3 linked regions of the Caenorhabditis elegans genome follow. The protein of the gene in region 1 purifies or fractionates together with the protein of each later gene. This does not show direct contact. Each region holds a gene or a part of one and is shown in the gene's direction. Other genes may lie near its edges.

What was found.
Region 2: the proteins of nduf-6 (region 1) and gas-1 fractionate together in Caenorhabditis elegans (co-fractionation; one large-scale study listed by BioGRID). This does not show direct contact.
Region 3: the proteins of nduf-6 (region 1) and ucr-2.2 fractionate together in Caenorhabditis elegans (co-fractionation; one large-scale study listed by BioGRID). This does not show direct contact.

What each region holds. Positions count from the first base shown.
Region 1 is NC_003279.8:7,089,202-7,092,017, forward strand, and holds nduf-6 (putative NADH dehydrogenase [ubiquinone] iron-sulfur protein 6, mitochondrial), read left to right. Parts: upstream 1-1,538; 5' UTR 1,539-1,540; coding exon 1,541-1,681; intron 1,682-1,729; coding exon 1,730-1,909; intron 1,910-1,954; coding exon 1,955-2,056; 3' UTR 2,057-2,160; downstream 2,161-2,816. Other genes in the region: nars-1 (Asparagine--tRNA ligase, cytoplasmic), read right to left, coding at 1-288, 335-730, 773-856; prpf-4 (Serine/threonine-protein kinase PRP4 homolog), read right to left, coding at 2,260-2,370, 2,582-2,671, 2,719-2,816. UniProt on the Caenorhabditis elegans protein: Accessory subunit of the mitochondrial membrane respiratory chain NADH dehydrogenase (Complex I), that is believed not to be involved in catalysis. Complex I functions in the transfer of electrons from NADH to the respiratory chain.
Region 2 is NC_003284.9:15,588,544-15,592,299, reverse strand, and holds the start of gas-1 (putative NADH dehydrogenase [ubiquinone] iron-sulfur protein 2, mitochondrial), read left to right. Parts: upstream 1-1,902; 5' UTR 1,903-1,908; coding exon 1,909-2,049; intron 2,050-2,100; coding exon 2,101-2,234; intron 2,235-2,287; coding exon 2,288-2,462; intron 2,463-2,682; coding exon 2,683-2,905; intron 2,906-2,953; coding exon 2,954-3,599; intron 3,600-3,756. Other genes in the region: usp-33 (Ubiquitin carboxyl-terminal hydrolase), read right to left, coding at 19-114, 477-677, 758-931.
Region 3 is NC_003284.9:15,172,283-15,176,038, forward strand, and holds the start of ucr-2.2 (Peptidase M16 N-terminal domain-containing protein), read left to right. Parts: upstream 1-1,621; 5' UTR 1,622-1,622; coding exon 1,623-1,757; intron 1,758-1,806; coding exon 1,807-1,953; intron 1,954-2,215; coding exon 2,216-2,427; intron 2,428-2,480; coding exon 2,481-2,562; intron 2,563-2,609; coding exon 2,610-2,744; intron 2,745-2,749; exon of another isoform or gene 2,750-2,824; coding exon of another isoform or gene 2,825-3,309; intron 3,310-3,379; coding exon of another isoform or gene 3,380-3,756. Other genes in the region: ocr-3 (Ion transport domain-containing protein), read left to right, coding at 1-85, 129-245, 302-433, 1,178-1,291; col-41 (Nematode cuticle collagen N-terminal domain-containing protein), read right to left, coding at 2,825-3,309, 3,380-3,756.

The sequences.
Region 1 (2,816 bases):
GAAATGATCTCTCATTGCACGAGTAGCTGCAGCGCGAATACGAAGAATTCTTGATGCATTCTCTCCACGGATGACAAGGTGGCGGTTATCAAGCATCACATCGACTCCAGCGCTTTCGTTGAGAACGTTGTCAATTCCTCCAGCTGGTGCTTTGCCAATAACCTCCCAATAGTCAACGGTAAGCTCGTGACCATCAGGAGCGGATTTTCCATCGGGAAGTGCCTTGATAATTCCATAAACTTGAACAGAAGTCTCTGTTGAGAGAGTAACAGCATCATAACTTTGACACTGGAAAACGAAACGATTATAGTTGATCTTTGAAACTATTTCATACCAACTTATCGTTCAAAACACATTGAAGGAATCCATAACCGTCTCTAAGAACAAGGAACATGAGTGACTTTCCTTGACGACGAAGACGATGTACCCAGGCTTTGATTGAGACTCGTTGATCGCGATGCTGCACAGATTCTCCAATCTTGATAACCTTAGCTTCTGGAAGAGACTTGTCAAGAGAAAATGTAATCTTCTTGGCTTCTTCGAGAGCAGCATGTTGAGCCTCTTCGGCTTCTTTCTCCCTACAACCAGCTTTCTCCAGCTTTTTCACTTCAGCTTCGTATTTTTTCACTGCCTTTTTGATAGCAGCTTTCGCTGCTGGTTCCCACGATTCCCCTTCCTCTGACTTTTTCTTCATCAAGAACTCGCCCGAGTTTTTCGAAATAAGCATAGCCTGAAAAGTTTGTTTTTAGCAACTATATTTTTGTGTGCTAACCTGAACCAAAGTAGCCAATGGCTGAGCTTCTGTTCCGGGATGCTGATCAGATCCAGCATCGGTATCGATGTAAAGCTTGGACATGTCGACTGTAAATTAAGATATTTATGAAACAGTATACGGAGTTCCTAAAAGTTATTTTAAAATGTAGCAGAACTGAGCACAGAAAGTTACATTTAACGAAACAGAGATGAATAAATGTTTACTCATTCATTTTGAAAGACACACTAATCTGTACATTATAAAAAAGTAAAGAATTGGGAAAATCTGACGAAAATTCCAACAAAAGTGAGATTGTGCAATCGCACGAAACTGTCGTCAAGTTCAGTGTTTGCGTACTCCCCTGTCTTAACTCTTACTTTAAATTTATGCCTCCCTAGCTGAAAATCAAATCAATTTTAGACAATCTTAGAATAAACATGTATCCTATTTAAAATTTGACGGGTCAAATTAATTTATTCGTTCACAAATCACTCAGAAAACGATGTGGAAGATTCATTACGGTGCACAATGGTAATTCGTGTTTTTGACGCAAGCATTTCATTTGACGCCAAGTTGCGGGCGTTGAGAAACATCTTTTTAATTGACGTCAAATTTGTTTGAAAACAGATGATTAACAACAATTTGTCTAGTTTAAGTATAAAACAATGTTTGTTCATGTTTTATAAAGAAGGAAATTGTTACGGTTTTTACAATTATTTCTTCGTTGCTCTTTTATATTGAATTCAAAGTTGTATCGATTAATCATAATCACTGTTTGGTTTAGTAATGAACCGGCTTCTTCAACAGTCGGTTTCACGCGGACCTCTTGCCGTCCGAGCTTCTTCTACAATTACAACAAAGCCACCAACTCCGAATCAAATTACCAAAAACAATGCACAATTCGACAAGGTGACTCACACCGGACAAGTAAGTGTTTCTTATATAACTTTTCAAATAAAATAAGCACATTTTCAGGCGTGGGATCAATCTGATTATCGTCTTCAAAGATTTGATATTTCGAAGAAAAGCGTCAATCCAAATGTAGCAATGCATCTTATTGATCAACGCCCTCCAGAGGATTGCGGGGATAAGAGAGTTGTCTTCTGTGATGGAGGACATCCAGCTCTTGGACATCCGAAAGTATACATCAACCTTGTTAGTTTTTTTTTAACTTTTAATGTCACACTTTAATTTTTTCAGGACAAACCAGGAGTTCATGCTTGCGGATATTGTGGAAACCGATTCTATAACTCGCACGCCACGAAGGCAGAGGACATGAAGATCCAACACCTCAACTGCTAATTTGTCTAGCCTCTTGGTTTTATTTTTTAGTATGTATACAAAACAAGTAGCGAATTTACAATCATTTTCATTTAAAATTTCCATAATGAATCGAAAGATAACAAAAAATTTGCTGTCGAGGAATATGTATTTAAATATAGCATACATACAATCGAAATAGGAGAAGAGAAATTAGAGATCACCGAAAAAATTTGGGAAATGTATTATTTGATAGGTATGGTGAAGAATGGGTGTTTGAGAGCCTCATTGCAGGTTGTTCGTTTGCTTGGATCAAGAATCAGCATTCCATCGAGCAAAGTTCGGAACGCTTGTATCTGTGAAAATAAAAATGTAGTCATTATCCAATCAGCCATATCGAGAAAATTAACCGAAGATGAGCACCGCTAATGACATTTTATTTTCGCTCTTATAAAATCTCCATTCCAGAAAATTAACAAAGTGGAGAGGAACATAGAGCGGGGGTGAACCAGGGACATTTGGGTGGTCGACAATAGTCTAACCAGCTGCACTATAAGGTACACTAACCTGATCCATTTGGTCTCTGCTCAAACGTTGCCCGGCAATCAATTCTGATTCCAAATCGCGTGTCGGTTTCAAATTTGCAAGAACAGTAATCTGAAAACATAAAAATGTAAATACTTTGAGTTTTCAAATATACAAACCTTGTTTCTTTCTGTAACTTTGTCAACTTCTTGATACAAAAGATTACAGTTTACATCAAAGTGAGTATCTTTGAATTGCGATTTTCGAACCAATTTGT
Region 2 (3,756 bases), on another chromosome or scaffold:
TACTACTTGATTACTTACATGTGTGAGGAACCGCTTGACAGGAGTGTAGACCATGCAACGTGTACATAGAATTGATTTCCGATCGTGATATAATATTGGAGGATGATTGTGAACCTTAAAAAATTGGAATAATTTTGAGAGCGCTGAGGTTGATTGATCTGTGCTTATCGAAGCATTAACTTATCAATTAACAACAATTTGGTGTTTTTTTTTCAATTTTCGGATAGATTAAAAATTTTTTAACCCTACACCTAATTGCTACCAAGCTTAAAACATGATGCTTAACTTATAAAAATGATTATGTTCCTATTTTTCTTCTGCACAGTTTTCTGTTTAGAAAAAAGTTCATCGCATGTGTCTGTCAAATTATATAAATATATGTAGATTACTATTTAACGGATATTATGTAAAAATGCAATTATATCAAAATTCAAAAAAGTAAGCAAAACTTGATGTCAATTTGCGAACAAACGTACCGCCATATGAGGAAGAAGGTGGTCGGAATTTTTGCAACAGCTTGACTTCAAACTATTAATACAATCTTGATGAGCACATGAGAAACTGACTGAATCATGGCAAGTCATGCATTTTAACTTCTTCTGTAGAAGCTGGCTGAGGTCTGATGGATTGATGTCTTTGACGTGTTTGCAGCGAGATTCCATTTGTTTTGGAAGCATCTGTAATTATTTTTGAGGTTTTTGGAAAATCAGGTATTGTGATGTTAAATGTTTGAGAAAGTCATTGGAAATATTCTTACCGGTCGCGGATTATTATTCTCTTCCAGATCATCCTTATCGGTATCTGTACCCGTTCCTGATTCAGACGATGACGACTCCTCATCTAGTATACCCTCTTCTTTTTCGATGTTCTGTGATGGCTGACTGCTATCCGAATTCATTCCGTCGTCATCACGCCCTGCACTATCCGCCATTCTGAAAAAAAATATAGAAAATTGAAATGAGAGTCATGTTAAATTTAAAAAAAAGTCATCATTAGTATCAATTGACCACAACGAAAAATGATATTGAAACCAAAAAAGAAAAAAACGTTAAGTTGTATTTCATATCATCAGTTTAATTAATAAGTTAATAGTATATTCGAAAATCTGTACTTTAAAAAAACAATGATGTCATTTCGGTAATAAGTGTAAAAAAATATGAAACTTGTGTATTATAACTCCACATTTTGAAAATTTAATTTCTTAACTTTTAAACGTGATCTTCATTTTGTTTTTTTTTTGAAACGATCTTTTCCAAACCTAATCATGATAATACTACTCACGTTTTAGATAAGTGGAGAAAAAAAACAATTACTAATTTACTTTTAAAATGTTGGAACACACGTACCGAAAATATTAGGTTAAATTTACAATTTGATCAAAAATTGAAAAATGAGTTTATTAAAAATTTTTACAAAATAATCCAAATTAACGTTATATTATAAAACAATTTTCAATTTAAAAAAAGTTTCTTAGAAAACAAAAATAAATAATAACACCGAGCATGACAATTCCGAACGACTGTCCAAGCAACAAGACATCTTCTAAATCAATAGAGAGGTGAGGCTACGCGAGGAAAACAACGACACTCCACCACGCGCTAAATACCGAGCAGTCGTCTTATTTTCGTTCGGTACCTATTTTCGACACTGTTTTTGCGAATTTACTTTCTTTTTTCTTAATAATTTTAATATTATCTTTATCGTGTAAGAAAAAATACGACTGACTGTTAGTTTCCATGAAAAAAATTGTGAAAATCAAGTTGCGAATTGGTGGGTTTTTGAAGTTCAATCTTTCTGTGTTCAATGTGCAATTTGGCAGCGATTTTATCGATTTTTCCGTTTCTCTTTGTTGCTTTAACTTCACAACTTTTATTGCTCACTATTCACCGAATATTTTTATAGGAAACAATGTTGGGTAGAAAGATCGCCGGAACTTGTCTCCGAGCGAACGTTCCATCGGTCGCGGCGACGTCTTCTACTCCTGCCACCCAAACCCGAAACTCCCACACAATCTGGTATCCAGATGCTAAATTTGAGCGTCAATTTAAGGTTGATTTTTTTTGTTGGTTACGAGTGACATCTCAATTTTCAATATTTCAGACCGGAGGTACCCTCGGAAAGCTGTGGATGTCGGAGCGGGTTTCGGATTTCGACGAGAAGATCGGACTTGACAAGCTTGAAAAGTTGGCCTATTCCGATCCAGTTATGAGTGATAACTACAGCGGAAAACAGAGGTAGAAATTTTACCGAGTACTTGAAAATTAAAATAATTTGTTTTTTTTTTCAGAGAGAAGAATCTGGAAAACATGATTCTCAACTTCGGACCACAGCATCCAGCCGCTCACGGAGTGTTGCGTCTCGTGTTGAAACTGGAAGGAGAAGTCATCATCAAGGCCATCCCACATATTGGACTCCTTCATCGTGCCACTGAAAAGCTCATTGAGCACAAGACCTACACTCAGGTATGTTTCTAAAACGATATTGAAAATGATAAATTGAAAATTTGTAAAATCTTCAACTCGGTCCAAGTTTAGAACTGAAAATGACAAATATTGTGTCTAAATAATAATTTTTTGTTTAGCCTAATTTTAGTTTTCAAAAGCTATGAAATCCGTTTCAAATCATTTTTTCTGTCACTCAAATCGAATATTCAATCAATTTTTCCAACTGTTTTCTTTGCAGGCTCTCCCATACTTCGATCGTCTCGATTACGTCTCCATGATGTGCAATGAGCAGGCTTGGTCTTTGGCTGTTGAGAAGCTTCTCGGTATTGACATCCCAACAAGAGCCAAATATATCAGAACTCTCATGGGAGAGCTCACTCGCATCCAGAACCACATCATGGGTATCACCACTCACGCCCTTGACGTTGGAGCTATGACACCGTTTTTCTGGATGTTCGAGGGTAAGTTTATTGTTTCAAAATAAGTACAAAACCAACATTGATTTTCAGAACGTGAAAAGCTCTTTGAGTTTTCCGAGCGAGTATCTGGTGCCAGAATGCATGCCAACTACGTCCGCCCCGGAGGTGTCGCTTGGGATCTTCCAATTGGTCTTATGGATGACATCTACGACTGGGCCATCAAGTTCCCAGAACGTATCGATGAGCTCGAAGACATGCTCACCGAAAACCGAATCTGGAAGGCCAGAACTATTGACATCGGACTTGTGTCAGCTGCTGATGCTCTCAACTGGGGATTCAGTGGAGTCATGGTCCGTGGATCTGGAATCAAGCAAGACGTGAGAAAGACCGAACCATACGATGCCTATGCTGATATGGAATTTGATGTTCCAATCGGAACCAAGGGTGATTGCTACGACAGATACTTGTGCCGTATTGAGGAGATGAGACAGTCGTTGAACATTGTGCATCAGTGCCTCAACAAGATGCCAGCCGGAGAAATCAAGGTCGACGATCACAAGGTTGTGCCACCAAAGAGAGCCGAGATGAAGGAGAACATGGAGTCTCTTATTCATCATTTCAAGTTCTTCACCGAAGGATTCCAAGTGCCACCAGGAGCAACTTATGTCCCAATTGAGGCTCCAAAGGGAGAGTTTGGAGTTTACCTTGTTGCTGATGGAACCGGAAAACCATATAGGTAACTATTTCATTTTTAATGTTAAGAATGCGGTGGTCTGAACCAAGGGTGTCAATGTCCCGTAAAATTTATATTATATATAAAAAATTTTAAATTTACAAAAACGGGACAGCGGGACTCCGGTTGACTATTAATTCTTGATTATGAAGTGATTACC
Region 3 (3,756 bases), on another chromosome or scaffold:
AATGTTTATTATGAGTGTGGGAGAATTTGGTGCACTTTATAAAAACTTGAACGAGTGCAAAAGCAGCATTGCTCCACAGTCCAAGGTTACAAAAAAAGCTCTTTTCAGGCTTACAAGCTCGTTTTAAGGTATTTTTCATCCTCTTCGAGTTAATTGTGACTGTTATGCTTCTGAATCTACTAATTGCTATGATGACTCGTACTTATGAGAAAATTGCCGAAACTGAGAAAGAATGGAAGCGTCAGGTGATTTTTTTATACTTCAACATTTTATTTTCAAGTTTCACCATTTTACTTTCCAGTGGGCGCAAGTAATTTTAATGTTAGAGCAGTCATCTTCAGCCTCGGAACGCCTCCTATCACTTTATCGTTATACTCGGCCAATACGTTCCGATAAACGAAGAAGAGCATTTGTTGTGAAAGTGAAGTCGAATGTAAGTGAATCTATAAATTTTCCCTAATTTATACTAGAATTTGAAAAAAATTAACTTTATTTCTTATTGTACAAATTTGATGGCAAGACTTGGTGATTCCCGAATCCTATTAAAGGTTGTGTAGTCGAATATTTTTAATGCTTTATTAGACTTGAAATTGTCTGAAAACACCGAATTTCATAATGAAACTTCTTGAAAACTTCTCAAAAAAAAGTTATGACGCGTGAAAAAGTGACCTAAAATTAGTTAAATTTTGAAATTTGACCGACTTGCCTATGTCGCAGCGGCTGGAAACAATTTTTTTTTGAAATTACCGTCAAATTTTGAATAAACCGTGTAATTATCTTGTGTTTTCAACTTTATTTAGGTACTTTAAAGTCGATGGAAGGCAAGATTTGGTTTAAAATAATTTAAAAATCTCGCCGTTATTCTAGCGAATTTTGGGCCATTTTGTGAGCCGTCATAACTTTTTTTAAAAAGAAGTTTTCAAGAAGTTTCATTATGAAATTTGGCATTTCCAGACAATTTTGAGTCTAATAAAGCAATAAAAAAATTCGACTACACCACCTTTAATGTCTTCAGAAATATCCTAACTTGGTTTAAGCACATTTTGTTAGTTTTGTAAAAATTATAGGAAAACATAATTTTTGCTGAAACTGAAAAATTTGTAATCAAACTTTTCCTCTCGAAAAAAACCTCACAAAATTTATATCATTTTTTTAGTTTTCAAATATATTTTTTCAGGACCGCCAGCAACCACAACTCAAATTAATTCCACCGCGTGGAAAACCGTCAATCCGCTTGTCAAACAACAGTTCCATTCATGTCTTACATGTTCTATCAAAACATGCTTCGTAAAAACTAAAAAAATTTCAATTATTCGTTTATTAATTTTTGCCGTAATAAAGTGTTCATAGTCCTCGTCGTTTCATGCCATTTGGCCAGTGACGTATGTGCGCACGAAACGCGCAAGCGAGAAGGGATGCGTCAGCAATGAGTCGGGAAAGGCGTCTCTCATTTTTTGGACCTATTTTTGTGAAAAATGAAGTTATTTTTAGTTTTCCATTTAATATTTAAACAAAAAATGAATAAATTTGATAAATTATGCACTTTTTATAACCGTATTGTTCAATTTTACCCAATTTTTGAAAATTATCTAGTTTTTCTTTGAAAATCTAGTTTTTTCAGAATGCTTAGCCGCAACATTGGAGCTGTTCGCGGAGCCCATAAGGCAGCAACGACAAAACCAGTCGAAAAAGTGGCCAAACTTGGAAATGGATTGACCGTTGGAACTATCGACTCTCACAAACCAATTGCACATTTGGTTTTTTTTTAATTTGTTTCTTCTATCCGAAATCATCTTCAAATTTTAGGTTCTTGCCTTCAGAGCTGGAAGTCGCTACGAAAAAGCCAACCAGGCCGGACTCTCTCATACCATCAGAAATTTCGTCGGCAGAGATACCCAGGAATACTTTGGAAACACAGTTGTATGGACGTTGTCACAGACCGGAGGAGTTCTGGTGAGCAAGAAAAAAAAATCGATAAAGTTGAATCTACTGGGCGTTAGAAAAGAACTAAGAATTTTAATGTAAATTTGAAGAAAGATTGCATAATACATTCACAGTTTTTTTTAGAAAAGATTTGTTAGAAAAAAAATTTGGAATTAAGTATTTTGTATCAAAATTTCAGAAAAAATGTGGTCTAATTAACTTGGAGCAAAATTATCAAATTTTCATGAGCATTCCAAAAAGTCTCACAGACATAGCGAGGGTGATGTTTCAGAAATCCTTCACCTCCCGCGATCTTTTCGGAGTCTCCCTCACAATTCCACGCGAAAGCACTTCCGTCGGACTTTCCGTATTGGGACAAGTCGCTGGTAACCCAGGATTCAAGCCATGGGAAGTCGAGGATGTGCTGCCAACTATGCGCGCTGACAACGGATACAGAACCGCTTACGACTTGGTTGTTGACCAGATTCACAAGGCCGCTTACAGGTTTGGCATTGAGAAGCTTTCGAGAATTCATTGAGCAAAACTTTTTTTTTTAGAAATGGAGGACTTGGAAACTCAATCTATGCACCATGCTCTAAAATTGGATCGATCTGCACATCAACTTTGTCCTCATTTGCAGTAAGTTGCTTATTCTTATCTGCAAGTTTTCAATTTTAAAATTTCAGGAGCAGCACTTCGTCACAGGAAACGGAGTATTGTTTGCCACTAATGCTGTTCACGATGACCTTCTTCTCTATGGAGACAATCACGCCCCAATCAGAAGTGGAAACGCTGCGTCCCCATCTTCAAGTGCTTACAAGGTGAGTTCTTGAAAACGAATATTTATTCAGTGGAGTTGGATAACAAAGTCATAAATAATGTCATGAGAAGTGTCACGCATCTACCAACGTCTCTGGTAGCTTCCAGTTTGTGGTGGAGATGGAGCATCGTATCCTCCTGATGGCTGCTCTGGCTTGGCTGGTGGTGGGACGGAATAAGCTGGCTCAGCTGGATAGCTTGGGGATGGGTAGCTCGGAGATGGGTAGCTTGGGGATGGATAGCTTGGAGATGGATAGCTTGGAGACGGGTAGCTTGGTGATGGATGAGCTGGCTCTTGTGGAGCTGGGGATGGGTATCCAGAATCTGGAGTCTCTGGCTCTCTGACTGGTGGCTGTGAAGCTGGTGCTGGACGAGTTGTTGCTGGTGGAGCGCGGGTGGTTGCTGGTGGAGCACGAGTTGCTGGTGGAGCGCGAGTTGCTGGTGGAGCACGAGTTCCTGGAGCAGCAGTGGATCCACGTGGTGGTGGCTGTGGAGCGGATGTTCCAGATGATGGTGGGGTTCTGTCGTCTTGTCTTTGTGGGCATGGGCAGTAGTTGGCATCTTTTCCTGAAACAATTTAAAATGTTTCATCACTGTTTGTTCAAGAAATTCCTAGTAACAACAACAAAAATTTTACCTGGAGCTCCTGGCTTTCCAGCTTGTCCCGGGGTTCCTGGGAAGGCGTCGTGACCAGCGTTTCCTGGAGTTCCTGGTGCTCCTTGTGGTCCCTCCTCTCCGTCCTTTCCTGGCTCTCCATGTTGTCCTGGAAGTCCTGGCTCTCCCAACCATCCTGGCTCTCCTGGCTGTCCAGCTTGTCCTGGGAAGTATGTGGTTCCTGGCTGTCCGTCTGGTCCGTCGGTCCCATCGTATCCCTTTGGTCCTTGTTCTCCTTGATCTCCTGGGGCTCCCTCCTGTCCTGGGGCTCCATCTTCACCGGATGGTCCGGATTGCCCTTGAAGTCCTGGGAATCCTTCTGGTCCAGAGTCTCCATCAGGCCCTGGTGGTCCAGCTGGT